Linked DNA regions of Notamacropus eugenii. The protein of the gene in region 1 purifies or fractionates together with the protein of each later gene. This does not show direct contact. Links are inferred from orthologs where the notes say so. Each region holds a gene or a part of one and is shown on either strand. Other genes may lie near its edges.

Region 1 (7,027 bases):
ACCGTAAGTCTGGGCAATGCTACCAACAAAAGCCAAACTAGTTTAAAATTAAATTAGGGATTTAATTCAATTCAACAAAAATTTATTTGAACAGCTGCAGCACTTTGTAAATAGAAACAAGGGGGAGTTGTAAAATTTAGGTAAGAAACAATCCCTGACTTCATACAGTTTAGAATCTAAGAGAAGGATAGAACATGATAACAGATACAATGATAAATAATAATTCTTTATCAATTTAAAGTTTGTGAAGCACTTTACAATTGTTATCTCATTTTACTTTTACAACAACCCTTGGTTGGTGCTATTATTATCCTTATTTTATAGATGATGAATCTGAGACAGAAAATGACTTGCCTGGGTTCACAAAGTAAGTGTCTGGGGCTAGATTTGCACACAAAGTGTGCAACTACACTAACTACAGGTCAAATACTCTAACCACTGCACCGCCTAGCTGTCTCTATTACATATATACAACTACAACTATAATACAAAACAACCAATAATTAACCTAAGTGCATAAGGGAGGGGAAGAAAGGAGGGAACATTTATTAAGCTCCTACCATGTATCAGGCACTATACTAAGTGCTTTATAATTTCTCATTTGATCCCCATTACCCTGTAAGGTAGGTTCTATTATCATCCCATTGTACAGATGAGGGAATTCAGGCAGGCAGAGGTTAAGTGATTTGTCAAGGTCACAAAACTATTAAGGACCTCTGAAGCTGATCTGAATTCAGATCTTTGAACTCCAAGCCCAGAGAGTAAGGAAGTATAAACAAGGTCTCATAGCTGATATACAGCAGAAGTTAGACTCAGATCCAAGTCCTCTAACTTTAAATCAATGCTTTTTCCACTGTACTGGGGAAAAAATAAGAAATCAATTTGGGGTTTATTGAGTTTGAAGTGCCAGTGAAAGGTCCTGTATAGACTCATGTAGAAGGACTCATGTATATCCAGAACTCAGGAGAAGCCAGGAGTGGAACAAGATTTGGGTGTCATCTGTATTACAGTAATGGGTGAAGGTGTGGAAATGAGATTGCCAAGAGACAAGAATCAAGGATAAAATCTTAAGACACTGAGATGAAGAAACAGAGAAATTAGAAAAGTAATAACACTAGAAATGGAAGTCAGAAGGCCTCAGTTGCCATCACAACTCTATCACTAGTTACATGTCTACAGACAAATCACTTCACTTTTCTGGTGCACACTAGGATAGTATTTATATAATCGGCTTCATAAGAGTGTTATGAGGAAAATGTTTCATAAGTTGCAAAGTACTACCTATGCAAATGTGCACAACTGTGATTACTGAAACAATCTTTTGACTTCTCATTTGTTTCTAGACATCTTGTTTAAAAATAAGTTGCCCATAAATTTCTTCCAAACAAAATATAATAGCTTATACTAATTGTTGCACTTAAGTGTAAATTTCACGAACTGAGCAGACTTACAAAGCAAAAGAAGCAAGACTCCTCTTTCTTATAAGAACAGAATTTATACATTTTACCTTGATAAATTCCTTTAATCTCTCAAAAAGGGAAAGAAATCTGTCTACAGGTTAACCAGTTAGCAAACAGCTGATCAAAGTTTACTAAGTAAACCAATACTCTGGCACTAGTCCCCACCTGTAAGCACAAAAACTAAGCACTACACATAGAAACCACTTAGAAAAAAACCTCCAATATTCCAGAGATTTAAATTCCTTCATTCTCAAATTACTAAAACATGGCAGTATATCAGGAACAACTTGGGGGAGGGGAGAAGATTAAACTTTAAAAACAGCTAAAAGAGGCACCAGTCAATCAATAAACATCTAATAAGCACCTACTATGTACCAGGAACTATACTAGGAACTCAGACACTGGAGATACAAATATAAAAAATGAAACAATCTGTACCGTCAAGGATCTTACATTCTAACAAAAGAGCTTATTTTACCACACCTTTACACAAGTATAACAAGCAAGTAAGTTTGTCCTGTTATGTCTTATAGGCAACGTCAATTTGAGGCATGGGAGAGAAATAAGGAAATATGGTTTATTTCACTTTCCTGAATTAAATTACAATGTCTATCTGCTATCATATTTTAACAATAACCTAAATATTGTACACTCAAACTCTGCAACAAAGTAGAAAACTTTTTTTCCCTGCAAGTATCGTTAAGTCTAAAATGGGGCTATCATTAGCCACTCAATCAAAACAAAGCAAGTTGCTACAATCTGAAGCAGAGAGATAAACGCTTGATCTTAACAGTCCCGAATCTTCAAGGATCAGAAAATGGCTATTCCCCCTTTAAGGAGAGAGCAACAACAGTAGAATCACAAAAACTCTTGGTCAGAAAGGACCTCAAAAATCACCTAGTTATACTGTAACTAAACATAAATTCCCTCTAAATCCTCCTGAATAAATGAGCTTTATTACCGTTTGCTTGACAAAATCCAGCACCTGGACACTCGCAACTTATTCAGGGAGCAGACTCCATTATAAACCTGTTCTATTTTTTTAGGGAAGAGGGAACAGGGGTTGAACCTTTGACTTGGTGTACAGAAATCCCAGAAGAGGAAACTCCCTCTACCAATTTAAGTTGGCACCTTCTCTGCAATTCACTGTCTTAAACAGCCGCCTGAGCCCTAAGATGTTAAGTGACTTACCCAAGGCCACAAGCACTGTGCATGTCAAAGACTCTTTTAAGACTTAAACCCCCGATCTTCTCGGCCCGAACCCCCACGTCTCTGCCCCCTTTTCTAATTTTCAGGAAATCTGAAAAATACGCCACTTTGAAAACCTGTACCCACTTGTTCCTACTTCTGGTCCGTGGAGTCAGGTAGAACAAGTCTAATCCCTCTTCTCCAGGGGACAGGGGACGGAACCTTCAGTACAAACAGCTATCAAAACCCCAGTCTCTAAAAACTAGAAGATCTTCAGAAGTTATCTGAACCCACTCATACCTGAGCAGCAATACCTTCTACAGCTTCCCCAAGAAGTTGGGCCAACAAGTCTCTATTGGAAGACCTCCAGAGAAGGGGAGGTCTGAGGTGGCCCATTCCACTTTTGGTCAGCTGTGGTCTGGCAGGAAGTTTTTCCTTACATCGAGGCGCAATCGCTGCAACTTCCATCTACTGCTCCTAAGTCTGCTCTCGGGGGCCAAGCGGAGCAAGCTCGATACCTCTCGCACATGACAACCCTTCAAACACTTCAACTGTAACTTTCCCCTTAAATGACAGAATCAGAGCATCTCAGAACTGGAAGGGGCTCCAAGAATCACCCCGCAGAACCCCTTCTGGAGCAGGCACGTCCCCTGCCACATCGCCGATGGGGGACCACACCGAGAGAGGCACCCCCAGGTCTCAGCTGGGAACCGCCAGGCGAGCGAGCTTCAAGATCCGACCTCAGGCCACTGCCTACGCCCCCTTGCCCCCGTCCCCACCCTCACCCCGTGCCAAGCTCTGCCGCTGACTTCGGGTGTGCCCACCCCTCTCTGCACCTCCGTTTCCCCATCTGTTAAAATAACGGAGAAGCTGGACCAGACGATGTCTCAGGGCCCCTCTAGCTCTGACTTTCTGTGGCTACTCCCCCCTTCTCTGCAGCTCGGCTCCAGAGCCTGGTGGGGAAGGGGTGGAGGGAAGGGAAGAGGCACAGAAGCCGCCGGGAGGCAGGGAGGTGGCGCTGCCGGCGCCCCCGCTCCCCGGGGCTCCCGGAGCTGACAGGGGCGGGGGCCGGGACGGAAAGAAGGAGGGAAGAAGGGCGGGAGGACTCTCAGCTGCACCACTCCCGGAAGGCGGGGGACTCCGGAGTCAGCGCCCCGCGGCCCCACCGGCACGGCCCAGAAGCCCGGCCCTTACCTTCAGGTCGTTCTCCGGCAGATACTTGCAGAGCCGCGCGATCTCCACATACTTGTCCAAGTCCAGGGGCGCCATTTTAGGAATAACAACCCGCAGTGGCGGCGGCGGCGGAGAAGGCCGAAGCCGGAACTCTGTTCAACGTCACTTCCTGTAGACGCGCAGCGTCTCTGCGTCAAGGCGTGAAAGTTTGCCCTTCCGCTTCTTCTTTCTGCCAGCCCCTACAGCCCTACTTCTGAATGGCTCAAGACGGAGAGTCGCGGGAGTTACACGACAGAGACCTGTGCGTCTCTGGAAACATACCAGGACTCGCTAAGCCGCCTGGGATTTGTAGTTTCCCACATCTAGCAGCGCTTCTTATACCTCTGGTTTATGCACATAAACGCGCTGAGAGAATTGCACATACACCTACATGCAGCAGGCAAAGGCCGCCTTGTCTCGTGCAGGGGATCGATGCTGAATTGTGACGTGGGAGAACCTTCTCTGGACAGCCAAGCCATGGAGCCCTCCCCCTTGCCCCTCCCCGCCCTGCGTGATTCTCTGTCCCTCGCCCCCCTTTTCCTCGAGCCCCCCAACTCACAGCCGAGTTCATACCCTGGCCCCTTCCTACTTTTCCAGGCTTCCTCCGCGTTATTTTCCACGATCCAGTTACCACGGCTTCCTTTCTGTTCCTCCCACCAGACACTCCATCTCCCGATTCAGAACATTTTCGGTAGCGGTTCTCCTGGTCGGGAATGCTCCCCCTCCTCACCTCCACCTCCTGCTTTCCCTGGCTTCCTTCAAGTCTCAGCACAGATTCCACCTTCTGCAAGAAGCCTTTCCTGCTCCCCTTTATTGCTAGTGCTTTCGCTTAGAGATGACATGCAGTTTATCCTGTCTGTATCTTGTCTGTACGCAGTTGTTTGCAGGTTGTCTCCCCGCTAGACTGAGCTTCTAGAGAGCAGGGGTTATTTTTTGTCTTTCTTTGTATCTCCAGCGCTTAGCAAATGCCTGGCACATAGTAGGAACTTGTGGGCTGACCGGCTGATCTCCAGGTCCTGGGGAGGGGAATCCTGTCCGCGTCATAGGCCTGGGGGTGCACATAGGCGCGCCGGGTGTCCTTCCCGGCTGCACTAAGCAAGACGACAGCCAAGATACGGGAGGAGACGGACTGACTGAGGACCGGGATCCCAATCCAGGCAAACCAGTAAGTGGTTTCACAGAAAGAGTCCTAGGAGACATGAGACCTGGATCTCAGCCCCGTCTCTGGCCCCGTGCTCTTTATGGGACCGTGGACAAATCACTTCTCTCTGGGCCTCCGTTGTTCTCATCTTTAAAATGAGGGGTTTACCCCATATTATCTTCAAGTGCCCTCCCAGTTCCGACATTCTACCCATTCTGCCCAGCCTGCCAGTTAACGTCCCTTCTCTGCGTCTCAGTTTTTGCCTCTTTAAAATGAGTCAATTGTACTAGATGCTCCCTAAAATCTCCTTAATCTCTAAGTACGCAGACCGAGTACTCTGGATTCTCTGTGTATGGCTAACCCTCACCGGAAGGATCTGGACTACTCTTGGACAGAAGAGATGGTTCTAGGATTCTGTGATTTTTTTTTAAGAGAAATATAATAATAGTTGACATTTCTATGCCAATTGACAATTATATTTAAGGCTTTTAAAGCTTTGCATTTATTATCTCATTTGCTCTTTAAAACAGTCCTGTGAAATAGGGATTAACACTATTATTAAAATTTGTGGATCATCTAAAAATTGCATAATGTTTACCACCCCTTGAATCCTTTTTTGCTACTTTGCCAAAATCACTTTTGAAGTGGATAGGGACCACAAAGGACTGTGGCCTTTAGGATCTTTTGATCAGTCATTAGATTTTCCCACTATTTACTGACTCTTCATGACCCCACTTGAGGTTTGCTTGGCAAAGATACTGGAGTGGTTTGCCATTTTCTTCTCTTACAGATGAGGAAACTGAGTCAAACAGGGTTAAGTGACTTATCCAGTGTGGCACAGCTTAGTAAGTGTCTGAAGCCAGATTTGAACTCAGGAAGATGAGTCTTCCTAACTCCAGGCCCAGCATTCTATCCACTGTACCACCTAACTGCCACCACCTAGGGGCAGCTAGGTGGTGCAGTGGATAGAGCACCAGTGCAGGAGTCAGGAGGACCTAAGTCAAATCTCACCTCAGACACTTGACACTCACTAACTGTGTGACTTGGGCAAGTCATTTAACCCCAGTTGTCTCATCCTGGGTCATCTCCAGTCATCCTGATGAATATGCAGTCACTGGATTCAGATGGCTCTGGAGGAGAAGTGAAGCTGGTGACCTGCACAGCCTTCCCTCACTCAAAAACAAAGTCAAGTGCAAGTCATGTCATGGAACACACACATTAGATTTGGAATCAGAAGATCTGAATTCATATCCTGTTACCTCCTACATTTGTAACCTTGAGCAAATCTCCTTCATTCTGGGCCTCACCTTTAAAATGAAAGCCTCAGACTTCCAGCTTTAAATGCTCTGATTACTAAAGATAAAGGTGTCTGTAACAGACTCTGAACTTCTCAGGGGAAAAAATGATTCTAGTTTTGTGATCTTAGGTAGCATGGTGCTGGCCTGGGCTACACAGGTTCAAAGTCTAGCCCTAGCAATGACTCATTTGATCACTGGCGAGATGCTCAACCTCTCTCTCTCTTACCTTCTCCCCCTTCATCATCCTCTTCCTCCCTCCCTCCTTCTCTCTCTCCCTCCTCACTCCCCTCTCCCCTTTTCCCCCCCTCTCTCCCTCCTTCCCTCCTTCTCTCTCTCTCTCTCTCTCTCTCTCTCTTTCTCTCTCAGCATCAGCTTCTTCAACTTAATGTGAAGATAATACATACTTCTTCATAGAGTTGTTTCAAAGAAAGAGCTTTCTTTGTAAATATTCCTCGTGAATAGAGATCATTTCATTTATTATATTTGCGTTCCCAGCACCTAGCACAGTACCTGGTACATAGTAGGCACTAAATAAGTACTTGTTTATTGATTGATTGATTCAATCTTAAAGTACTATAAAAATGGAAATTTCATTATTATGAAGTCTTTTAACTTTTCTGACATTCAAGGAAACTATGTAACAATATTCCCAAAAAGCCCACTAAATATAAGGCCTGTATTTGGAGCTAGAGAAGAGTCAAAGTTTAGATGATTATAGAATTCAAAAA
Region 2 (8,025 bases), on another chromosome or scaffold:
ATGAATCATCTTCACAAATGAGGAGTAAATAAAGCAACTTGCCTTAAAGCCGTTGGAATCTCAATGATCCACTAAGGCCCGAAATCTTTTAACAAACAATCACTATCAGGAGAATAACAAATCATCACCCCATCAAAGCATATTAAGGACAGAATCATCCTTCGCTCCTTGACAGAGACAGCTGTAAGATGGTATGTGTATTAGTCCTTCATTACCGAAGAAGACCATGCCATCAGAGAAATGATGACATGACTCGCACTTGACTTTGTTTTGAGTGAGGGAGGGCTGTGCAGCTCACCAGCCTCACTTCTCCTCCAGAGCCATCTGAATCCAGTGACCGGATATTCATCAGGATGATTGGAGATGACCCAGGATGAGGCAATTGGGGTTAAGTGACTTGCCCAAGGTCACACAAGTAGTGAGTGTCAAGTGTCTGAGGTGAGATTTGAACTCAGGTCCCCCTGACTCCTGCACTGGTGCTCTATCCACTGCACCACCTAGCTGCCTTTGTAAGATGGTAACTATTTCCTAGAATGTGGCTTTGGTAGATAGCACAATCACTCCCAGCTGAAAACATTCTCTCAGAGGTGATGGGACTACAAACCGGGCCCACCTGATACCCATTGCCTTCTCAGCCTTATCTGGTGCTGTCAAAGACAGTTGACCCACAAGGAAGTGTAAGAGAACAAGCCAAAGCCCAAACTTCCAATCCCTGAGATAAAAGGGCCTGCAGAAGTCCCCATCTGGCTACAAGGATGCTTCTTGGGACACTCAGCTGCCACAAGTCCTGCTTGAGCTCACAAAGAACTAAGGCTCTCTGCTTGGAGAAGGAACAGGATGAAGAAAGAAAAGTGGACAGAGAGACAGGTTAAAGAAATGATTGTTTGAAACAGACAAAAAAAAGTAACAGCAACCAGTCTCTAGCTGACAATATAATTCATGTAAAACAAAGGCAGCCATGACATCCTCACTCTCTTTCAAGAGCACCCCCCCCACACACACACACACACACAATAAATTCTTTCCCAAGTTCCTTTATATCAGTAACACACTAATTACTGTTTTGTTCAGGATTATTTTCTAATACCTCTAAATTTGTGAAAGGTTAAAAATCTGAAGAAACCAAGCATTGTCTTTACTATTTTATTTTGGCCTAAAAGACTTAAAAAGAAGGGAGACAGGCAAAGGATGTCAAGGAGGAATCTTAGAGACCAGCAGCTGGTTGCCATGCCCATCCCCCCCAAGGGAGGTGAAAGAAATGATCAAATGTTTCAGCCACCAAGAAATTAGAAGTCTGAAGGGCTCAGGATGTCATTGAGATATCTGTGGCTGAAACAAAGAGGACACACTGGAACAAACTTCTCATTTCTCCCCAGGCAGCTCACCAGGGAAATAACATCTCCATCCCAGAAGGTCTTGGTCCTGGGGCTTGGAGAGTGGGACCCACAAACTCAGCCTCCATTTAAGGGAGGGGTTCAGCGTGCTAACCCTAAATGTGCTGTTCCACTAGCCTTCCCCCAGGTCTTATTGCACCGCTCCCCTAGAGTGTAAACTCCTTAAGGGGAGGAATTTTTTTTTTTTACTTCAATCTGCACTCCCAGCACTGAGCAAAGTGCCTGGAATACAGGAGGCATTTAATAAACATTTATTGACAAGTCCCACAGGAACTCTAGACCTCTAAGACAGTAACAGAAATTTCTTCTAAATTAAAAATATTTTCCTCAACGCTTAGACCACCAGTTCTCCCCAAACTGTTCATCACAAACATCAAACCATGATTTCTCGTGGCTGAGTGCACTAGAAGCAACTGCTACTGAGTCTTCAGTTTTCAGTGATTTTTGTGCCCCACTCAAAGCATTAAACACAAAAGCCAACTGCTGAACTAGGCTAAAAGATCCAATCTGTGGGGCCCACTTATTCAGAATTTTGGCCCCCAACTTAGACCAGTCTCGCAAGTCCTCTGAAGTCTCACTGTGGTGTGGAAATGACTGGGCCTGGAGTCATGAAGACTTGAGGTTCAAATCCAGCCTCAGTTACTTCCTCAACGTGTGAACCTGGACAAGTTTGTTCTGACTCCGGGAGTCTGAATCAGACAACTGCAAAGTGCTTAGCACGGTGCCTGGCTACAGTGACTGCTACAGAAATGTTAGCTCTTCTTTGGTAGGCACAGAGGGCAGGCCCAATGCCAGGATTGAGGGTCTTTCACAGGAGAAGCTAGATGCCAATTCAGGGGCAGGAGAGTGTGGGATTTGGCCACAGCAACCACCATAGAAAGGTCTTAGTAATGCCTTGGTTTTTTTTAATAACTTCATAAAAATATCCATTCTTGATGTCAAGTTACTGACAAACTAGATTTTTAAATCTGACTCTGATGCCTATAGATTAAAATGACACATTCAGGCCACTTTCAATCTTGGAAGGAGTTGCTAAAAAGCTTCGGCTTGAGTTTTCAAATGAACTTTTTCTTTTTACCTAGTAATACTGATCTGTTCCAGAAAAGTTGGCTACAAACCACAATTTGTGATAAAGGAATCACTTTCTCAAAGGGAAATGAATTCTGTAAGGCAGTCTTTAAATGGTCCAAGAATTCTTAATTTTTCACATCAAGATACCAATAATCATTGGTGCTACTTAGAAAGACAGAAGCTATCATCAATGAGTTCCCAGTCCTCAGTTTTAATTTTTACTTCTAAAAATCTGGAGCACAATTAGGAAGGACTCCTCCTAGAAGCAGAAGTTAGAGCAGAAGCTCCTGCCTCTGAGAGCAGAATGCATGCACAGACACACACATGGACGCACAAGCGGACCCACACATGCACGGGCAGACAACACGCCCACAGGAATGCATACAGGCACGCACAGGCACGCATAGGCACATACAACACTGGTATAATCTGAAATGTTAACAATTCTCTAACAACTTGTTTTCATCAAATCAGCCTTTTTACCATCAAATAATAAAGCTGTTAGGGGACTCAATTCCCTGCTGTGAAGGTATTTGTGACAGAAACTCGGCCACCATTAAAACACCTGAAAACGACCAAATTTTCTATTTGTGCACTAAGTGAACAAAGACACATTTCTAAGGCTACTAGCTGATCACTCAATTTAAAAAAAAGATGAAATAATGAAGAAGCATACTACTGCAAACATGTCCCTGAGTTCTTTGAGAAACTCCCTCCTGGGCGAGCTGACATTAGGGTGCCTGTCTCTCGCTCTGTCTCTCTTGGGCTGGGGCCAGGTGCAGAGTTCAGTTTATTCCGGCACTTTTCAACAGGAGCCCAGGTCCCTTCGAATAAGGAAAAATAATGCCATCAAATGTGCTAGAGGAAGCTGTCAGAGTACCGGTGAGCACAATTACTACATTCTACCCAAACACGCAGCAATGGGGAGGGGAAAACCTCTGAAAAGCAGAATCAAAAAACTGAATCTCCCGCCTACTCTAAACACAATCTGTACTTCCTACAACAGAGGAGACGACAATATCCTTTCAAGCATTTGTGTGATATTTGAATAATTTCATAAATGGCTCGATGGAATTCTTCAAATTCCAAATCTTGACATAGTGGGTTTGACAATGAGAATTCCCCTCCAGTGCTCCCAGCTCACATCAGGCCCTGGTGGAAAGGGGACAGTGAATGAGTGCAGTCACGACGCTGGTGATGCTGACAGCTGACGTTTACCTAGGCCCCAGTTTACTCAGTGCCATGCACTAGGCTAAGCACTTTACAATACCTCACTGGATTCTCACAACAGCCCTGGGAGGTAGGTACCAGTGTGAGCCCCATTTTACAGATAAACAAACAAGCAAACAGGGTGAAGTGACTTGCCCAAAGCCATACAGCTAGGGAGTGTCTGAGGCCACATGGGCCTCCTAGCCCAGTGCTCTATGCACTCTGGCACCCCCTAGTGCCTGTACAGGACACAAGCACAGGAAACATGCACAACAGAGGAGCTTGCTGCCAACACAGCCCACACCTCAGGGTGCCTCAGTCAGCACTTTCTTCCCACCAAAGTCCACCCCCAGGCCAAGTCCCAAGCCCAGCACCCTGCTGTACCAGCTGTTCCAACACCGCACAAGCTTTTAGAACAGACCACACCAATAATTAAATTCAAATCCTCTATAGCTCGCCAGTCCCAAAGCCCCTTCCTGTGGCCTACACAGACTGAGTGAGCAGCCACCCTGCCCTGTCCCAGTCACCCAAGATGTCAGGGTTCTGGGTCCCAGTGACACTGCCCGGGCTCTGAGGGAGGAGTTGCTGAGTATCTAGGGTGAAATCAGAAACTCAGACTCTGGACTTCAAGGTCTAAGTAATCTTTGCACTAAGCTGCTATTCAAAGTCTCAGGGAGGGTTTTTCTCAAGTTTTCCCCTCAGTGAGGAAGAACTTCCATCTGAGATGGACAGGTACTATTTCAGCGTAGCCATGTACCCTAATGTGACACCTGGGCTTTCCTACGTCCACTGAGCCTGAGCAATGGAGTCGCCTGCCATGCAGGTCGGCCTGGACAGAAGCCTCGCCAAGGCCCCTGTGTAGGCTGGCATGGTATCAGTACTTCTCCCCAAGATTTGCTTTGTCACTGGATAATCTCCAAAGAGAAACAAAAAACAGAATCATCCTGCCCAAGAAGAATGGGTGAGTTTGCTGCAGAAGTTACCAAAAAGGACCAAAGGAAGGGAGTCTACACATCATGATCTGAAGACCAGAGCTCAGATGTGACTAAACCTCCTGGATTCTGGAGAAAACAGTAAAGAGCATATTGCCTTTGGGAAGAGAATTCAGGAGCCCCAGAGGAACAGACAAAGAGACAGAAAGCAGTCCCTTCAGGGCCTCCCAGCTGCTGGGGGTGGGAGGACTGTTGCCCTCACCTCCCTGCTCCAATGTCTTAAAGCCCGTCCCCTCTCTCCAGGTCTCCACAAAAGAATCATTTTGCCCCCAAAGCCTCAGATCCAAGAGGCCAAACCACCAGAATCTTTTCCTACGCAGATCCCAGGAAATGTGACCAAAGCATCACAATTTCAACAGTGAAGACCCTCCAAGGCCAAATAATCTCTGAGGGCAAGCATAACCCGAGAGCATCTGCAGAGGTCTCTACAGCTCTGTCTATTCCGAAAAGGGGAAATGGAGGTGCCAAAGATTTGGGGCATGCCCTCAAGCAGTGGCCCATAGACAAAGATCTATGAGAAGAAGCAAATGAGCTACAGTTTGTTAAGAGCTCTCTAAATGCTAGCTACTGTTGCTATGCTGTTTTCAACAGGCCTGCCCAGGTTTAGGCTCAGACCATCAGAGCAGACCCTAAACTAAGGCTAATAGTCTTTGAAGGCTGGGAATCATTTTGATAAGGAGAAAGAAAGGGAGGGGAGAGAGTTGATGTCATCAGGATGGCACGTTTCGCAAAGACTCCAGCACATCTGGTGTTTTGACAAACACAGTCCCTGCCTTCATGGAGTTTACCATCCAGCAAAGGAAAAGACAATCCCAGGTAACCAAAGGACACCATGAGCACAGGACAAAGACAGCAGTGATGTGACCAAGTCTGAAGGGAGAGGTTAACGTGCTAAGGGGAAAGTTTCATAGGTAGGGCAGAATTTTATTTGTGTTATAAAGCATAAGTATTGGCATGTGACCCATGACACTATCAAGTACAGCCCCAGCTTCCCAGGGGTCTAGCAATCAAAGGCCAAGGAGGAAAGGGCATCCAGTACTACCAAATGAGAACACAGAGTGAGGAATGAGGAAATGACCATTAGATTTAGTGCTATTGGGAGAAGCAGGGCAGGGAGCCAGGTGACAAAGGCTAAGGAGGAGAGGAAGGTGAAACAAGTTGCAGTGAAGAGTCTTTTCAAGCCTAGAAGAGACCCAGGCAAGCCTGTAAGATGCGGGGAGAAAGGAGGGGGACCATTCATGGGACAAGTGTGCAGGAGATGAAGAGAGGGGTTCAAGGCTTGGCAAGGAGAAGAGCACAGAATGAAAGTGGGGGGCTGGGGGTGAATGACAAAGGGGAAGGATGGGTGAACATCTCTGCTGAAGGGAAGATGAAGAAAGAAGACATGTGGAATGGCTGCCATAGGGAGTGGGAGATGGGAAAAATAAATTAAATAAACCAATAAGGTCAGGGGAAAACAGATGAAATAACCAACACAGAGTGAAGCAAGCAAGCCTGGGGTTCATAGCCCAGGGCCGGGGTTTGGATGACAGACAACTGTCAACAGGATCAGGAGGCAGGGACTAAAAACAGGGTCTGCAAAGGTGTTGTTACAGGGCCCTGGGTGAGAGCAGGGTGAAGATGCGTCCAGCTTGGGCAGGAGAGGGAAGGACCAAGGCCATGCCACGGCCACTGGAGAATGTCTTGTCTGCCCCTCTGGGGGGAATGAGGATTGAGGAAGAGGGAAAGATGACAGGATTGCTTGGAGGCAGCAACCGGGGCTGACAGCGGAGATTTAAGGGAGGCCATCACTGGCATGAGCTTAGAATGCCAGCATATGAGGAGGGCAAGAGTGGGGACGAAGAGAGGCCGAGACCTGGAGGCCAACAGACGTCTGTGACGGAGGCGATGCTACCGAAGAAGGAGAGCATGCTCAATAGGAACAGCAAAGGAGAAGGAAGAGCAAGGAAAACAGCTATTCCTCAGCCTGGTCAGGGACAAGAGAAGGAACACAGAGTGTCAGAGAACACACTAAAGAAGACAGCACTTTCCAAAAGAGACAAGGGCCTCATAGCACCAGATGATGAAAAGGTCTAAGATGAGGGGAGTTTGTGAAGGGAACAGACATGAAGAGGGAAATGGACAGCATTGTTACAAGGTTTTTACCTCTGCCAAAAATGACTCTGAATCAGAGCAACACAGGGAACAAGGGTCAAGGGTCACAGAATGAAAGAAGAGGCTGTGTCCTGGGGCCCTTCCTAGGATGGGGGGTGGAGGGTGGGGAGGCACATGAAGCCAGCTCTCATCTCCCCAACTCAAGGGGCTAGAAGCACTAGCCCTGAAGGTCCCTGGGATCTCTGATAGGCTGCCTCAGTCTCCTTTGGTGTCAGATCTCCTGTGGATCTCCTCTGTTGCCCCCAGCATCAGAATGGGACAATCGTAAGACAGAAGAGGTAGAACGACCTCCAGGCTGAACAGTACCCAAATGGAAACCCAAGAAAGATGAATCTGGGACAATCAGCAAGCACCCAGCTTCCTCAGGCCTGCCTGCACAGGCAGCCCTCCCCGGGAGCAGACACACTGGGGAAAAGATCAGACGGCAGGAGACGGCAAGAAGCAAAGAAAGGATGGGAGAAGGTCTAGGCATGAGCCTAGTTGATTGAAGACAACTCTCTAGAACATGTCCTTGACAAAGGAAATGGTGAGGTGAGAACGAAAAGCCAACATGGCTTCAGGAGGAAAAGGCATGAGAGACTCATCTCATTTGGTTTGGGGTTTTTTTTTGGACAATTACCATACTGATGGCTGAGGAAATACCGTAGAGACAGACAGTCAGCCTCAATGGAGGCAGAGTACCCAGAGTGTCATAGGCCATGTGACAACTGCAGAGCTGGATGGGGCCGGCCTGGCCCCAAAGAGCTTAACTTCAACTCAGAATGTCACGAGTGAAGCGAGCCCCAGGGATCCATGCTTGGTCAGAGGGCAGGATCCACACAAAGTCCCACTCAGACAGGCCACAACACAGACTTCAAATCAAGTTCAAAGGAAAGGAAGAGGCTTCCACTGGGATGTTAAAAAAAAGGCAGAAGCATCTATAAGATCTGTGCCATCATTAAGCACTTGCACTAAGGGGCTGTGCTAAGTAAAAAACAAGCCCAAGTTCAAGGTTGGGGAGGGAAGGTGGGGAGGTGGCCCTCCCGCAGGCAGAAAGCAGGGCCCAAAGGCACACAAGCCACCCGAGAAGGCCCATGCAGAGTGGCAGCCAGGCCTGGGGCAGGGCTATCGCTCACAGATGGATACATGGGACAGAAGGTATTAGGCCTCAATCACGGTGGGTCCTAGAGGCCTGGGCAGCATTTCATGGCTAACAGGATCCAGAG
Region 3 (7,918 bases), on another chromosome or scaffold:
GCCAGAGGAAATATGCCTAATCCCAAATGGCAGGTCCCTACATTCACCACTTACTCTGTTTCAATCTGACCCTGGTTCTTTTTCTCCTGACTTCCTCTGTCTTTGGAGAAATGGTCAGGGATTTTCCAGGAGAGATGTCTCCATCTGTCTCCCTGTGCCCAGCTCTGGGGGTGTGTAGACTGTTCCCTTTACCCATATCCAAAGTATCCTAACTCCTAGAATACCCAAAAAGCTGAGAATTTATTCTATCAAAATGCAAGTTTAGTCCACTAAATTTAAAATTGTTGAGAAGTTACTTTTGTGCTAGCCTCAGAGTGAAATCCGTGGGTTGGCATATTCTTGAATGTGGGGTAGGAGGTACTATGCTAAACTCTCCCTAGAAATCTCCGAAACAATTGAACTTCTCTCCTTCCCTGTTTTTTTCATCTGAAAAATTAAAGGAGTTAGATGAGATAAACTATAAGGTTTCTCCTGGCATTGTCCATGATTCTACAAAATTCAAGATTAAAGATATATGTCACACTTAGGAAGGAAGGGAGAGAATAGCAGCTAAAGACAGGGATAGAACCCAGTACTGACAGAAAATAGTAGCTAAGAAAGGGAATCCTGTTCTCCCCTCCCTCAGTTTTCCCAATTCTTCAAAAAGCAAGAAAGAAGGATTATTGGAGGAATTTAGGCTACTAAAAGAGATCTACTCTAAGACCATAGGCAGGAACCCCTAGAGTCCAAAAGAGATTCTGAATTAGATACCTGGGTTTTGTCCATTTAAGTCCCTTAGGTGGTAACTAGAGGTCTCAGACTCCCCTGCCCTACCTATCTCCCAAATCTGAGGGCATCTGTATGCAAGTGATTAAAGTACTAAAGCAACTTAGTTCTTCTCACTATTCCATCTTTTCCTAAGTCTAAGGATTCTGAAAAGATAGGTGGGGAAGCAGAATAGATAGGTCCCTTGGGGGCTTACCCTCCCAGTGGATCATTGGCAGCTTCCTGGAACACACTACCAGGCTCCCAACTATGTCGTCTGAAAGGATCACAAATGTAGCTTCGGGCCTGATGGGCTTTTGCTCTTCGGCGGAGCACTGGTTGGAAGCCATCTTCCTCTTCCTCCTCTTCTTCCTGAGACTGCCCGCTGGGCTCCACGGCTGACAGGCATCTCTGAGTTCTTCCTTGGGGCTTGGGGTCTCCTCTTGCCAGGATGGCCTCTGGGATTTTGTCATTCATGGAAGTGGCAGATGGGCTGGCCTAGACAGAAGACAAATAGAGGTTGGGGGAAGGTAGGCTTGGGTATTCTCCTTCAAGGGCCTCCTACTTTGGATGAGGAGAGGCAACTCTCATCCTTCCAGGCTAGCTTCCTAAATATCTTTCATTTTTGCTTTTTTTTAATGCCAGGGTTTCCAGTTACACCAACCAACTTTGGTTTTTGTTCCCCTGAGACAGACTTCTCTCACCTTATCAACTGCACCCTCTTTCAAATGAATGAATGAAAATAACTATATGCTAGTTATTAGATATAAATACAAACAAGTATGTTTTGACAAATAATTGATATGGCCTTTCTAGGAATGGTAGTGTTGATATGAATAGTTTCCAGAGCTATTGTTCAAAAGGGGTGGAGTATATTCTAGGTGATTTGGCATGGAGATGGGTTGTGAAGTAGCAAATGAGCCCTTCTTAGAGACAGGCACTTCGGTAACAGTGCTCATGCTAGATTATATCAAAGATCCATGAACTCTCCAAGGACTTTTGACATTGAGGGTGATGAAATCCCAATCCATGAAGCAATTCCAACCAATCCACCAAACCAATGCCTAGTCCACATTTTTAAGCCCTTTGCTGTGATGGAGATACAGGCATCTGAGTTTCCAGGGACTAATTCTCTAAGGATTACACCTCACTATCCAGTGAGATTTCAGGAGTGGTTATAATCTGTTGAAAGGCAGGAGGGTCATTCCCTCTGCCAGGACCATCAAGGGAAGGGGTATGAAGGTGGAGCATAAACTTCTCCCAAGTCCATTGGTTACCCCAGGGATCTCCTGAATGTCAAAAAGTTCTTCCTATCATCTATTTTCCCTCCCTCCCAATCCAGTTTGCCCACTATCCCTGGCTACATGCAGAAGCTACAGAAAAAGAGATTGTTGGCCAGTCATCTACAACCTTGTGACCCTTTACCACCTAAGGCAGACTCAGGCTTTTAGACTTCTGCAGCTGGTCTTTGTTCCTGACCAATGGAACCCAGGGATGGAAAGGGAAACTAGGTGCAGCCATTGTGCCTATCCATGTCCTTCCTATGCCAAGGAGATGACAAATGTGTAGCCAGCCACCAGAAGAGACTTTCTTCCTTCTCCATAGCTGGGCCTATGCCATTTGTACAAGCTGGCATCCGATCATGTTGGCAGCCAGGATAGGTATGTCTGAAGGGAGTGGGAAAGATGTTGAATAGCTCTGGGGTCAGAGCAGGACTCTCTGTCAACTGCGCACTTTCCAGAGAAAGGTAGATACAAAATTGTGTGGAACTGTGGCTGAGGGAAAAGGGACAGGAACTAGAGAGGGACTGGAGGGGGCACAAATGAGGAGAGAATAGGAGCTTTATTGTCTCTAGATGCACATGGAAATAAGTAGTGAGTCTCCACCCCTATCTCCACGCAGCTAGGTGGTGAAGTAGATAAAGTGCTGGAGCAGGAGTCAGGAAGACTGGAATTCAAATCTGACCTCAGACACTACTAGCTACGTGACCCTGAGCAAGTCACTTAGCCCTGTTTGCCTCAGTTTCCTCATCTGTAAAATGAGCTGGAGAAGGTAATGGCAAACCACTCCAGTATCTCTGCCAAAATAAACTCCCAAACCCAAATGGGGTCATGAAGAATTGGACATAACTGAACAACAACAAACCACCCCTATCTCTCTCACCTGCTTTTTCTCCCCTCCACCCCATAGCTCCATATCTAGAATTAAAATAGGAAGAGGCATGGCAAGCAGAAGGAAATGAACCGAAGTCTTTTCCTGTTTTCTCTCCCTTCCTGGAGACAAATCACCTGATCCCCTAGCCCTACAAACACAGCCCCTGATTCTGATATCACGGAGTTCCTCCCTCTTCCTTCCAAAGCCCAAAGTGCCCACTTCCCTGGTGCCAGTACCATGCTGGTCCATCCAGGGGAAGGCTTTCCAATTCTCTCTACCAGTGGTGGGATTCCCTCTGCTCACATTCTAGTCTTTCTGAAGATGGAATCCCCAGAAGTTCTTCCTCCCTCTGATGACACAGAGACAGGATTTAGAGTCGGAATGAATCTTAGAGATCACATTGACCAATAGCATCATTTTCCAGAGGAAGAAACTGAAGGCCAGTGAGGCATTTCTCAAGCACTGTGATGTGAAAGTCTCTTCTTACACTTCCAGAAAATCCTTTCTTTTGTCCCTGGGCTGTCACATAGAAGCCTCACTCTACTCTTCAAGGGACTGGGGTTTGGCTGCCTCCCCAACAGTACCAGCTCTTGGTAATTCCTTTCCCAAACCCTGGCCTCCTTGCTGCATTTCCTTTTCTGTTCCATGATCTTTATTCCTTCCAAAGACTCTCCCTCAAGCCCTCTCTCCCCACAGGCCTCCTGAGCTTAGGAAATGGAACAAGGGAGTAGTAGCCAGAGCTGGGTCTCACACAATGGCTTTATTTAGCTTCAGAATGAGATCATATCATGTCACAGTGCTGTTTCCACTGAGCATAGATAGGAGGTTCCGAAATAGATCTGAGTTGTTCAACACTTTTGGGGGTGGGGTGGGGTGGGGAAGAACCTCAGGAAGAGAGTAGGTCAGTTCATTCATCCCCTTCAAGGTAGGATGGTTCTCTTGCCCTGAAGGGTCAACATGCATCTCCATTTTCAAGCACCCTTTCAAGAACCATCTCTAACTTCAAGGAAGCCTTTTGGGTGTCTAACCTGCATCCCCTCTGCTGCAGTTAACAACTGAACTAGTCACTTGGTCAACATTCTTGGAGCAATGAGCAAAGTACTCAATGTTGAGTGATAGAACAGTTAAGAAGAAAAGAATGCAGAGGGGAGAGACGCATTCACTGAACTGAATTCAGGTTGAGAGGAGGGGGAACCTTGTCTCTAAATTGACCATGGTATTCAAAGAGGTTACCTGAGATACAAGCTTTTTGGAGGGGCAGAAGAGAAGTGAGGAAGCAGGGAGAAAGTGTCAGTCCATGTTGCAGTTGGAGAAAGGGAGTCCTGAGGAGCCTGTCCAAGGCAGAGAGAGCCAGGAATGGGGGTCTGAGTATCTTCAGCTATTACCTGAATTACATGATAGCGAACCATCTTCACAGAGAAAAGAACAGAAGACAAACAGACTGAAATTAACGCAAGACGGTGGGACAGTTACCCAATAAAAGGAAGAGACCCAGACCATGGAAGGAACAAGAAAATAATCGTTTATATTATGATTCTTTCCTAGGGTTTTACATACATTATCTCTGTGAGGTAGGGGCTATTATTATCCTCATTTTAGAGAAGAGGAAACTAAGACTCTGAGAAATGACTTAATTAGGGTTACACAGCTGGTAAGTGCCTGAGGCTGGATTTGGACCCAGGACTTCCTGATAGCACTTCCTGTCCAGCATTCTAACCACTGCACTAGGCTGCCCTGGGCACCCTGAGCAGAAGACAAAATGCCTACCCACAGAAACACTCTACCAGTCTGTCAGTCTGGCTTGGAGAAGGTGTTACTGGGTCCAGAGGCTGGCATTCCCACTTACCTAGTGTGTAGGGAGAGGTTTGGGCAGTTGAGAGGGTAATGAATGTAAATGAGAGTGTGTAGGTCCAAAGCATGACCAGCTTCCAGCCCCCAGTTATATAGCTGGAATGAAAAATGAAGAACTATCTCATACTAAATTAGGAGATAATCCCCTAAAGAAACCAAGCATGTCCTAAAAGAAATCAGGTAGAGACAGTCCCTCCACTCCCCAAACTGAAACATTTTTAAAAATTTTTCTGTCCATTCCATCAGTTTCCCTGAAAAGCTGGGTGGTGGAGCTGTGTTCCAGAAGTGTTTGCTGCCAGTAAATGCTGGGGTGTGTGTGTGTGTGGTGTGTGTGTGTGTGTGTGTGTGTGTGTGTGTGTGTGAGAGAGAGACAGAGACAGAGACAGAGACAGAGAGAGATGGGGGTAGGTACATAGAAGGGTTGGAAAAGAGAGGGAAACACAGGAGAGTAGAAAGATGATTGCGTCAAACTAATAACCAAGCATTTTACAACTGGGAGGCAACTTTGATCGTTTCTCAGGCCTAGGAGGCTCCTAGGAACTGAGTTTTAGGTTCTTAACTGTCTCTTCAAAGTAACTTTAAAAAAAAGACACCTACCTCCTAAAGATACCTATCTCTTCTCCCCCTCTTTCCCCCCCATCCCCTCCCCACTTCAGAAGAAGGAGAGGCTGGATGTTATGGTTTAATGGCTTCTTTACAGGCCTTATAGCTCTAGGGAGCCAGGGTCACAGACAGTCCTTTGATGGTTCAAAATTTAACTACACTTCTCCTCTTCTTGGGTAAATCATTAATTCAAGTCCTAGTGTGAGGACTAAAGCATTCATGCTTAAGTTAGAGTCTCTTCTAAGACACTTAGTGAGAAAGGTCCCAGTAGATTCTGTATTATCTCTACCTCCTATAGCACCTGGTGACTCTCCTAGCCTAGGGCTGACCCCAGGAATCCAGGGCTCTAATATTTCCTCCTCACTCTGGCAATTTTGAATCCTGAGGTTATTAGAATGCTGGGCTTTGTATGTTCAAGTCACAACCCCACCTCTGAGGACCTGAGAAGAATTTCTGACAAATCTTCGATCTCTACCCTGGGTATCCTGGCACCTAATTAAGTACTTAGCCCCAACCTCTCAGTCAAACACTGAAAACAAATGCAGACCCAATTCTGAGACAGGAAGAAGAGAGAATGATGGGACTAGGATCCCTAAATCCAGAAACCCAGCCACCTCCTGACCCCCAAAGTTAATGAGATGGGACACAGGCACTAACTCTGGAAGGTAGCAAGGCTGGGGATATACCAAGTACCCCTGCCACTGACCCATACCAGTTTCCAGGCTTGCCTCCAGCCAGCCACTCACTTGTATACTCTAGGGCCAGACTGATGAGTTAGCCACCAGCTCTCCAGCAATGATCTCCAGCAATTCAGTTCTGTTGGGAAGGGACCACAGCATCCCTTCACCTCCTAAGACTAACCACACATTCTCTTGCTATAGCGTATAACGGATCAGAAAGCAAGACATCTCAGCTTCTTCCCCTTCACCACAAGCAGCAGTTTGACAGGGTAAAAAGGTGCTGGGCTTGGGATCAGGAAAACCTGTTGCATTCAAATCCCATTTTGGACAGAGAGACCAGGGGGTAAATCACTTAATCTAAGCCTGTTTCCTCATATATAAAATGAGGAATAGTCATTATAGTACCTACCTCAGCAGGATACTGTGAGGCTCAAGTGAGACAATATAAACTGTTAAGCACTATGGCTATCAGTTTTCTTATCATAACCATTACTATTCCCCCCACCCCTGAGCTACCTTTACCCTGAGAGAGCAATTCCCTTACGAGGAACTAAGAGGTAGGCATGGTGGTATTCAGAGAAGAGCATATTAAGTTGGGAGGAAAGGGGAGAATGCCAATCCTCTTTCATTTAAGGCTGGTTTCTTGGCATTGATTCCAAATACAGTGGTAAAGAGGTAGGACAACCAGAGGTTCAGTAGGACACACACGAAGGAAGAGACTTTGGCCAGGGAATGGCTATCCTAGAACAGAATTTCCACCACCCCCATCAAGAAATTTCTGGAGAACAACTAGAAATAGGGCTTGGGTCCCCAAGTCATGGGGATATAATAACATGGGAGCTGGAAGGCTAGGGTCTCTGTTGCCTTCCCCACTTCTACCCTGGGAGGAGAGACAGTATTTGCTTGGGGGGAAGGGGAAAATGGCTTGATGGCTGAATGAGGAGCTCCAACAAGAAAACATACATCCCAAACATACTCCCACAGACACAATCGAATGTTAGAGCTGGGTGAAAGTCAATGAGGAGACAAAGGGTTTAGTGATTTATCAGGGGGCTAGAGAGGCTTCCTAAAGAGTACCACTTTTCTGGTTACTCCTGTTTTTAGACAGGAGCTTGGGTTGGAGGAAAGGGAGGAACAAACTCACCGTTGTTGGGGAACCTACTCCAGCCCCCTGCAGATGAGACTCTTTCCAGAGAAAATTCTCGCTCCAGGTGGCCTAAGCAGGTTTCTGTCCAATTCGGTACCTCAACTGGGAATCTTTCTCTGGAGCACAGTAAGAGGGTCTCTCATGGTCCAAAGAACAAGGGCAGAGAGGTGGGAGACTTGCTTGAGTCCAAACTAAGTGCCTACTCAACTCCTCCTGCCCTTACTATCTGCACTTATAAACACCAGACAGTACTGTGCCTGACTCCCTTAACCCCTTGAATTCCACCACTACACTGGGAACTCTGGAGTCCACTGCCCTGGGCACTTTCTGGGCAGAGGAGCCTGCCTGGGGCAGACTACATAAAGCCAATTAAAGTTTACCTGGGTCGGTGATCGGATAGGAGATTGTCCAAGGGACTCACTCTCCCAGAGGAAGAGGTGGAGCTTATAAAGGAGAGGCTAAAAAGGGTGGGATTAGAAGTGGTGACTTTAGGGAAGGGAGCCACTTCAGTATCTCACAGCTCAACCACAGGCAAGACTTCAATAGGGTAGAGACACATGCCTCTGGCCCTACCTGTCCTTTTAAGAGAGACATTATGGCTAGTGGAGGGGAAAGATTGTGCTTTCATCATTTAAAGGAAAAACACAGGGAGGAGCAGTAGCTGGGGCTGCTGTATCTGGGAAGGGCACTAGTTCCAGCCAACAGGAATTAAGATTGACCTAGTGCATGGTCACATAGC
Region 4 (7,232 bases), on another chromosome or scaffold:
GACTGTCCCTCAAACATGGAATGCTCTCCTCTCCTTCCTTATCTCCACTATCTAGCTTCCCTGCTTCCTTCAATTCTCAGCTAAAGCCCCACCTTCTGCAAAAGTCTCTCTTAGCCCTTCATGTGAGACCCAATTTATTCTGTATATATCTTAATTGAAAATAGCTGTTTGCGTGTTGTCCACCTGATTACAGTGTGAGTTCTTTGGGAGCAGGAACTGTTTTTGTTTTGTTTTGTAGACCTTTTGTTATATCCCCAGAGCTTAGCACAGTGCCTGGCATACAATGTTAGCTCAGTAACTATTATGGCAAGTATCAATAGCATCAACTCACATAAACAAAAGCTACTGGAGGAAGGTCCTCAATAATCTTTAATAAGAGTATAAAAGGGTTTGAGAACCACTTTAGAGAATAAGCTCTATGATAACTATTTTGGATTCTCAGAGGATGTCTCTAAAAAGAGTCCTATGTTGCATTCGTGATGGCTGAAGTCACTGAACTGCTACTGTACCCAAGGATATATTCCTATATAAAAACTGTCCAAGAGTCCCTGACTATTACAATTGAGAGAAATGAATATTTCTCTCTCATATTAATAACCAATCTATTTCATCATTCCCTGTAGGTCATTCAATCAGTTTTAAAGGGCAGGACTGATAAAGAGATGAAGTCTTGAACAGACACATCCACTGGGAAAACTCAGATCTGATCAAAAGGTGAAGAGATTCTAATCCAGTAAAATCTGGCCCACAGTGTTTTAGTCAGTCAAGTCTGATTGCCCTAGGTGGAGGTAGTCCAGATAAGAGATCTGTCCAAGATTGAGTGACATCCGCCAGCCCCTCGTTCCAATTAACTGACTCTTATTATAGTATTAATTCATTAAACCAATCAAGAGTTGGTTTCCAGCCTTAGCAGCACCTAACTCTTCTTCTAGGGGCATGTAAGCATTGAGTGGGTTCTATGAGAGGTCTTTGGCAACTAAGAGTGCAACTGACCCTTTTATATGTCCCTTAGACTTTTTATATGTCACAAAATTCAAAATTGTCCTTCTTACAATTTCTCTAAATCTTATCCCAAACATATCTAATCAATACCAAACTATAACCTGTCAAAAGCTGCCTCAGTATTTAGGAGGGCAAGGAAACGCAATTCAATTACCATTTAATAAAGCCTCTATTATATTACAAGACACTGTGATGGGTGCTAGAAATAAAAAAAAAAAACAACACCCTACTCCATGTGCAGGGGAATCTGTTGTGTATTTCAATACTTCAATAAATCTGTAATTCCATGGATATGGTATGAACCTTCATGGTATGAACCAAAATGCACTCAGGCTTTTCATCCTATGCAATTCTTATCCATTGTCTTCAACAGATCCTCCAGAGAAGAGCCCTATTATATGATACAGATCTTTTTACATCTTCAACATATCACCAGAAGATGTGAGTTATCTGTTATCCCTTACGTTCCCACCTACCATCATTTCCTCAATTGATATCCACTTGAGCCAAGCAGGCAGAAGTCAAGACGGGAGAAAAATGAAATATTCTAAGGGAAAATGTGAGGAAGAAAGTCCACTTCACTTTCAGAATACGCTGAGATTTGTTTTAAGAAACCAGTTGGAGGGCTGGCTACTTATAATTACCTAGAAATAAGGGTACCACCTCCCATTTCATGTCTGGTGAGATGTATTCTCAACATTGCCAATTGTACAAGTATGCAGAAATCACTGCCTAGGAATAAAATTTGTGTTGGTTGTTCTGGGGCATTTTTGGAAGGGGGAGCAGGTTAATTTTGTTAGTACATGGAACTCCCAGTGTGAAAACTTACTCCAACAACTCAACTCCTAGTTTACATTCCCAACAGTAACACTGACAGACTGAATGATTAGCGTCAAAAGCAGCATGTGGATAATGACAACGTAAGAGATGCTCTCTACGAAAAATGTCTGTTTTGAGTTGGTATTTTTTTATGCATCCTTTTGTTCTGGGTCAGAGCCTGCGCTTTCTTTCACTGTGGAGAACTCTCCCTACCAATGTACACAGACAACTCCTCATTTATAGTCTAAAACAGTAGCCTGAAACCACCAGCCTAGAAATACTACCCAAGAATAAAGTTTGGTTTTGGTTAGTGTTTGTGGTGGTGTTTGGGGCTCCTGGGGGAGGGAGCTTCCAGAGAAAACTCCTTCTCCCCAATGCAAATGAGCACCTCCTAATCTACAGTCCTAAATAACTGGCCCCATGTAGCAAGGCTACTCAGGCTCAGGGGCTGGACAAGAATCCGGGTTTTCTGTGGATTGGGGATGCAGAGCTGGAAGATGCCGAGCTTTGCCGTCTGGCCTCTGGTCTACAGTCCAGACGACATGTGACCCAAGCCCCTGCACTTACAGAGGTCCGGCGCTCCTTCCCGGACCCACGCGGACTTAGCCCGCCCCAGACTCCAGGGCCAGGGGGCAGCGGGAGGGGGCGGGGGCAGGAGCGCGGCCCAGAGTCCGTCAAACCGCGGCCGCGCACGCGCACTCGGAGCGTCCAGGGCAGGGCCCCGCCGGCAGTTCTGCAGCCGCCCGAGGGAGGCCTCGAGGTCCCGCGGGGGCGGGGAGCGGCCCCGAGAGCGACCGCCCCTCCCCAGTGCTGCTCATGCCCGCGCCCGCGCCCGCGCCCGGCCGCCCGGCCTCGACCTCTCCTCCCCCGCCCTCCCCAAACCTCACTTCTCCACATCGGCCGACTTCATGATGTGCGTCTTGGCCGCCGTCAGCTTCCACGGCCCGAAGGAGAAGTCCCGGCGACTGCTCTGGAAGCCGTGGATCATCATGGCCACGGTGGTGGCGCGGAACCAGCGCGAGCCGCGGCGGCCTCCCTTCTCCCCCGCCCCCACCTCCCCCTCCTCCCCCGAGCCGTTACCATCCCCGGCCCCGCCCCGCCCCGCTCCGCTCCCCGGCCCGGCCCAGCCCAGCCCACTGCCTGGGCCCCTTGCTCCTCCCGCCTTCCTGCCGGCCCGCCTGCCCCCGCCTTCTCCTTCCGCTTCCGGGAGCAGGTTGCCTGCGCGACGAGGCTGCGACGCGCCGGAAGTCCTAGGAAAAGGAAGGAGGGGCGGGGCTGGGGGAGTCGAGAGGCGTGGCCTGGACCCGGGGAGCGGGCGCGGACTTGGTGGCATCATGGGATGATGTCATCGCCAGCCTTTCCGCAGGCGGGGGGCGGGGCTCAAGAAGTAGCCTGAGGTGCTGGGTTTTCATTGGTGCAATTTCCCTACCCATCACTTTCCTTTTTTTGTTTGTTTGTTTGTTTCCTATAAAATGTGATCTACGGAAGCTTCCCCTTAACTTCCCAGAGGAACGTTCCGAGGTCCGTTTGTTCTCCAGGCCCAGGATGGAAATCAGGCTCCGTCCCTTTGTCAGGGTCCAGAGGGGTAGAAGCCCCCAAGGACTGCCCCTCTACAGCCTGGCATCTCCCTGGATGCCCGGAGGGAAGGAGCGAAGGCCAGGCGAGGCTGAAGCTGACTTCGTCTTTTTGGAAGATGCCCACGGCTCTGATTATGCGGACAATCCAGAGAGGTTCCTCTTAAGCACGTGGTTAACCTAATGAAACAAAGTAACAAAACTTTCACACGCGATTACGTCATCCTGATTCTCCCATAAGTAAGCCTGTAGCATCCTCCATAGGGAGAGGTGGCCTCGAGCCTTCCCCCTAGGAATACTGCCGTGGAGGGTCGGTGGGGCGAAGGGTGTTGCTTAGACACAAAAACACATGGATTTTATCCAGTTTACTAAGTTCCTGGGGGATTTAGAATTTTCTTATGCCCAGAAGTCACAAGACCAGAATGCAGAGGAACTCTAGGAGGAAATACCAAAGAGGGTCTGTGGGCAGAGCCGGTCCACCCCTCCTCTTCCACTGAAACGTCAGGGAATGGCCAGGAAAGAGCATTGCCCATCATAAAAAGCAGGGTAAAGAAGTGAAGTTGACACCTCATGGGGTGGCTGAGGGTGGACCAAAGTTGGAAAAGATGGTTGGTTCAACAAACTTGGGTGAATTGGACAGACCACTGGAACCTAGTCCGAAGCACTTTTCTCTTTACCCCTCTGAAGCATTGCCTGGGAGGAGTCCCAGGCTATCAGTCCAACTACTTATCCTCCCATTTCCCCTTGTACAGTTAGGAGGGAGAGTATAGGTAAAGGGGAAAAGATTCAGTTCTCCCATTGCAATATTATAGCCTATTAATCGAAGGAATGTTTATTTGAATCATATGCTAGTTGGAACTGCTTTTAAAGTGGATAGTCATTTACATTGATTTTTAGTCCAAGTCATTAAGTGCATACTTTGGAATTGAAGGAGGGGAGCCAACTCAAAAGAGAGAGATTTTCCTCAGCTCAGAGTGAGATGGGAAGCAAACCAATTATTTAAAAAAAAAAAAACTGTAATAATAGTCATCTTTGAGATATCCACAACCTACTTTTCTTGGGAACCCAGAAAGACAATTAACAGATAAATGAGCCAGTAGCAATGAGAGGTAGAGGTTGTGGTACAGATAATTAGGCTGCACAAGTACGCAGCAAATCTATGTGGCTACAGAACCATGGAATATTGGAATACTCAAAGGTAGTTTAGATATCTGGCCCAAATTCCCATGCAAACACATGCATTCCTTTTAACACTATTCCTGAAAGATGACCTAGTCACCCAAACTCTTTTTTTAGCTCCTTCAGTAATAATGAACTCCTTATCCATTAACAGAGCTGTGAGGCATGTTGCTTGCAAAAGAATAAGACAGTAACTGATAAACCCGGGAAGGCATTTTATTTTGTCCTTTCAAGAGCAGGTAATCTAAACATAGGCACACTTGTTTAAGGCAAATATACAATATTTATACCTCACCCCAATTCCCATTTCTCTCCCTTGCTCCCATTGGTTGGCAGTAGCTGGGTTCCCAGTCTATCCCATGATACTTAAAACTCCACCTCTGATTACACTTCACATTTCAACCCCCCATCACCACATTCTCATTTCCTTTATATTTTGGCAAGTCATAAATTCTTTCAAAGGAATGGCCTTAATTGATGTACAGTCTTTCTGGCTGACTTGAAAATTTGGTTAAAGAGGCAAACAGGCTAGGTGATATCTTAATTGAATAGGTGGTAAACACAATAAGATAAAAGAGTTGACAAAGTGTCCATTGAAATTACAACCCAGGATATCTGCATTTTCTTTACCATTGACATGCTATATAACATAGTATGGGTCCATAAGATACTAAGAAAAAGTCCCGTTATCCAAGATAGCATCTCAGGTTAAGGGTCTCATCGTTAATGGTCATAAACAGAAAAAATGGCTGTTCTTAAGTCAGCCCCATCTGGCCTTGTTGACATAGGAAGAAGTATTCTCTGAGTTTACTCAGAGAACAAAGAAGCTGTTAGGTCCAGGTTCTTCTTCTGGTTGATTAGTCCAGGCTCCGACCCTTATTGAGAATTCAAAATGATATTAAATGATTATCACTGGTGTTACAGATATTACATAAGTTCAGTTCATCTCTTACAGAGCCTATTATATTGTTAGACAGGTTTAACTGTTAGACTGTTCATTCTTATGTTGCACCACAATCTGCCTTAAAATTCCATAAGCAACACAGACTAAATCTCTTTTCTCATATTACAAATATTCAAATGTTTGAAGACAAAAATCATGCCCCTCCCAAACTGTCTTTTATCTAAGCTAAAAAAATTGTAAAAGCTCCTTAAGCTTTCAATGTTGAACGTTACTGCTCTTATATCTACTCATATATTCTTTTCCTCGTCCTCATTCTATCTGGTAGGATAGCTCCAAGTGAATGAGAGTTAGGTGAGGTTCATTTGTTTTATATCATACATAATGTAGTGGTAAGCCCAGATAAGGAATCCCCGACTAATTAGGCAGTGTTTACTGACTAGGGTGTGTGGGGATTGATGGTGGGGTTTCACAGAATCAAAGGTCATTCATTATAGCCTAGAACTGGAAGGTACAGGATTTGAACATACTTGTACCCAGCAATACAAACTTCCTCCAAAGATCGAGGCTCTGTTCACTATAATTGCAATCCAACCAAGAATGCCTAAGGCATTGAACTTGGAGTAATTTATATTTCTATAAAATATAGAATTCTTGATTGGATTGTGGAAATGTCTTGTGGGTTTAAAAACATGAAGCATGTAAAATTGAAATTTGGTGAAAATTTAGGAGTTGCCTACCATATGGTAAGCTCTTAATGAGGTCTATCTGAGTGGGGGAGCAAGGGGTGGAAAAGATAAAGTGGGGGCAGAAGAGAGGGAATCTCCTGAATTATGGCTAATATGTAATACAGGGCAGGTGGATGAGTGGCTAGGTTATGAGCTGGGTAAGCCTGGAGTTGTTACATTTTCAGAAGAAATCATATCACTCAAGAAGAGGATAATGACTTATGTCCAACAATACCTCAGAACCTTTTGGCATGCTTAGCAGCTCTAGTGAAAAAATTAAAAACATATGAATTTATGGGATGATGGGGACAGAGGTCATACAAGGTAGGCAGGCATGGATAAGTTATGATCTTTATGGGAAGGATACCCACATGGATGTATTGGCTTGATTTTATTCAGTTGTTTTCAATCATGTTAAACTCTTGATGATCTCATTTTGGGTTTTCTTGGCAAAGATACTGGAGTGGTTTGCTATTTCCTTCTCCAGGTCATTTTACAGAAGAAGAAACTGAGGCAAACAGGGTTAAGTGATTTGCAAAGTCACACAACTAGTAAGTGTCTGAGGCCAGATTTGAACTCAGGAAGATGAGTCTGCCACTCTGTCCTGGCAAAGGCCTTCTTCTAGTCAAAGAACTGGATCTACTTATTTGAGGAGGTCCCACATTCTTCTTGAATCAGTTTCCCGCCTGAAGAATCTCTCCATTGAAGATTGGTCATTGACACCAATTCCCACTTGCAAGCTGGCCACAATACATCAAAAGAAAGTTTGTTTATTGTTGTTGTTGTTTTTAAAAGGAGGGGAAATCACAAATATGTTCTGTAACAGGTATATTACAGTAACCCAATGTTCCACTTCACCAGTCCAAGGAGGCACCGCCCTCTAGTGTTCTCTGCACCAAACTTCTCCAGGCTGATGTCATTGAGACTCTAGAGTACCTCCTGTTTCTCTGGGTAGCCTAGGCAATACTAGGCAAAGGACAAGAATTTTTTATTTTTTGAGCTCATACTTGCAAGCAATGAGATCATAAA

The links.
Region 2: the proteins of PPP6C (region 1) and PPP6R3 purify together in Homo sapiens (affinity purification with mass spectrometry; 10 studies listed by BioGRID and IntAct, with this or other methods). This does not show direct contact. The link is inferred for Notamacropus eugenii from reciprocal best matches to the Homo sapiens genes PPP6C and PPP6R3.
Region 3: the proteins of PPP6C (region 1) and ARHGEF2 purify together in Homo sapiens (affinity purification with mass spectrometry; 4 studies listed by BioGRID and IntAct, with this or other methods). This does not show direct contact. The link is inferred for Notamacropus eugenii from reciprocal best matches to the Homo sapiens genes PPP6C and ARHGEF2.
Region 4: the proteins of PPP6C (region 1) and TIPRL purify together in Homo sapiens (co-immunoprecipitation; 4 studies listed by BioGRID and IntAct, with this or other methods). This does not show direct contact. The link is inferred for Notamacropus eugenii from reciprocal best matches to the Homo sapiens genes PPP6C and TIPRL.

Annotation. Positions count from the first base shown.
Region 1 is NC_092872.1:447,465,489-447,472,515, forward strand, and holds the start of PPP6C (serine/threonine-protein phosphatase 6 catalytic subunit), read right to left. Parts: upstream 3,182-7,027; 5' UTR 3,117-3,181; coding exon 2,949-3,116; intron 1-2,948.
Region 2 is NC_092873.1:20,815,336-20,823,360, reverse strand, and holds the start of PPP6R3 (serine/threonine-protein phosphatase 6 regulatory subunit 3), read right to left. Parts: upstream 3,161-8,025; 5' UTR 3,154-3,160; coding exon 3,142-3,153; intron 1-3,141.
Region 3 is NC_092873.1:380,102,054-380,109,971, forward strand, and holds the start of ARHGEF2 (rho guanine nucleotide exchange factor 2), read right to left. Parts: upstream 3,154-7,918; 5' UTR 3,138-3,153; coding exon 3,135-3,137; intron 1,243-3,134; coding exon 962-1,242; intron 1-961. UniProt on the Homo sapiens protein: Activates Rho-GTPases by promoting the exchange of GDP for GTP.
Region 4 is NC_092873.1:478,322,494-478,329,725, forward strand, and holds the start of TIPRL (TIP41-like protein), read right to left. Parts: upstream 3,078-7,232; 5' UTR 2,813-3,077; coding exon 2,709-2,812; intron 1-2,708. UniProt on the Homo sapiens protein: May be a allosteric regulator of serine/threonine-protein phosphatase 2A (PP2A). Isoform 1 inhibits catalytic activity of the PP2A(D) core complex in vitro. The PP2A(C):TIPRL complex does not show phosphatase activity.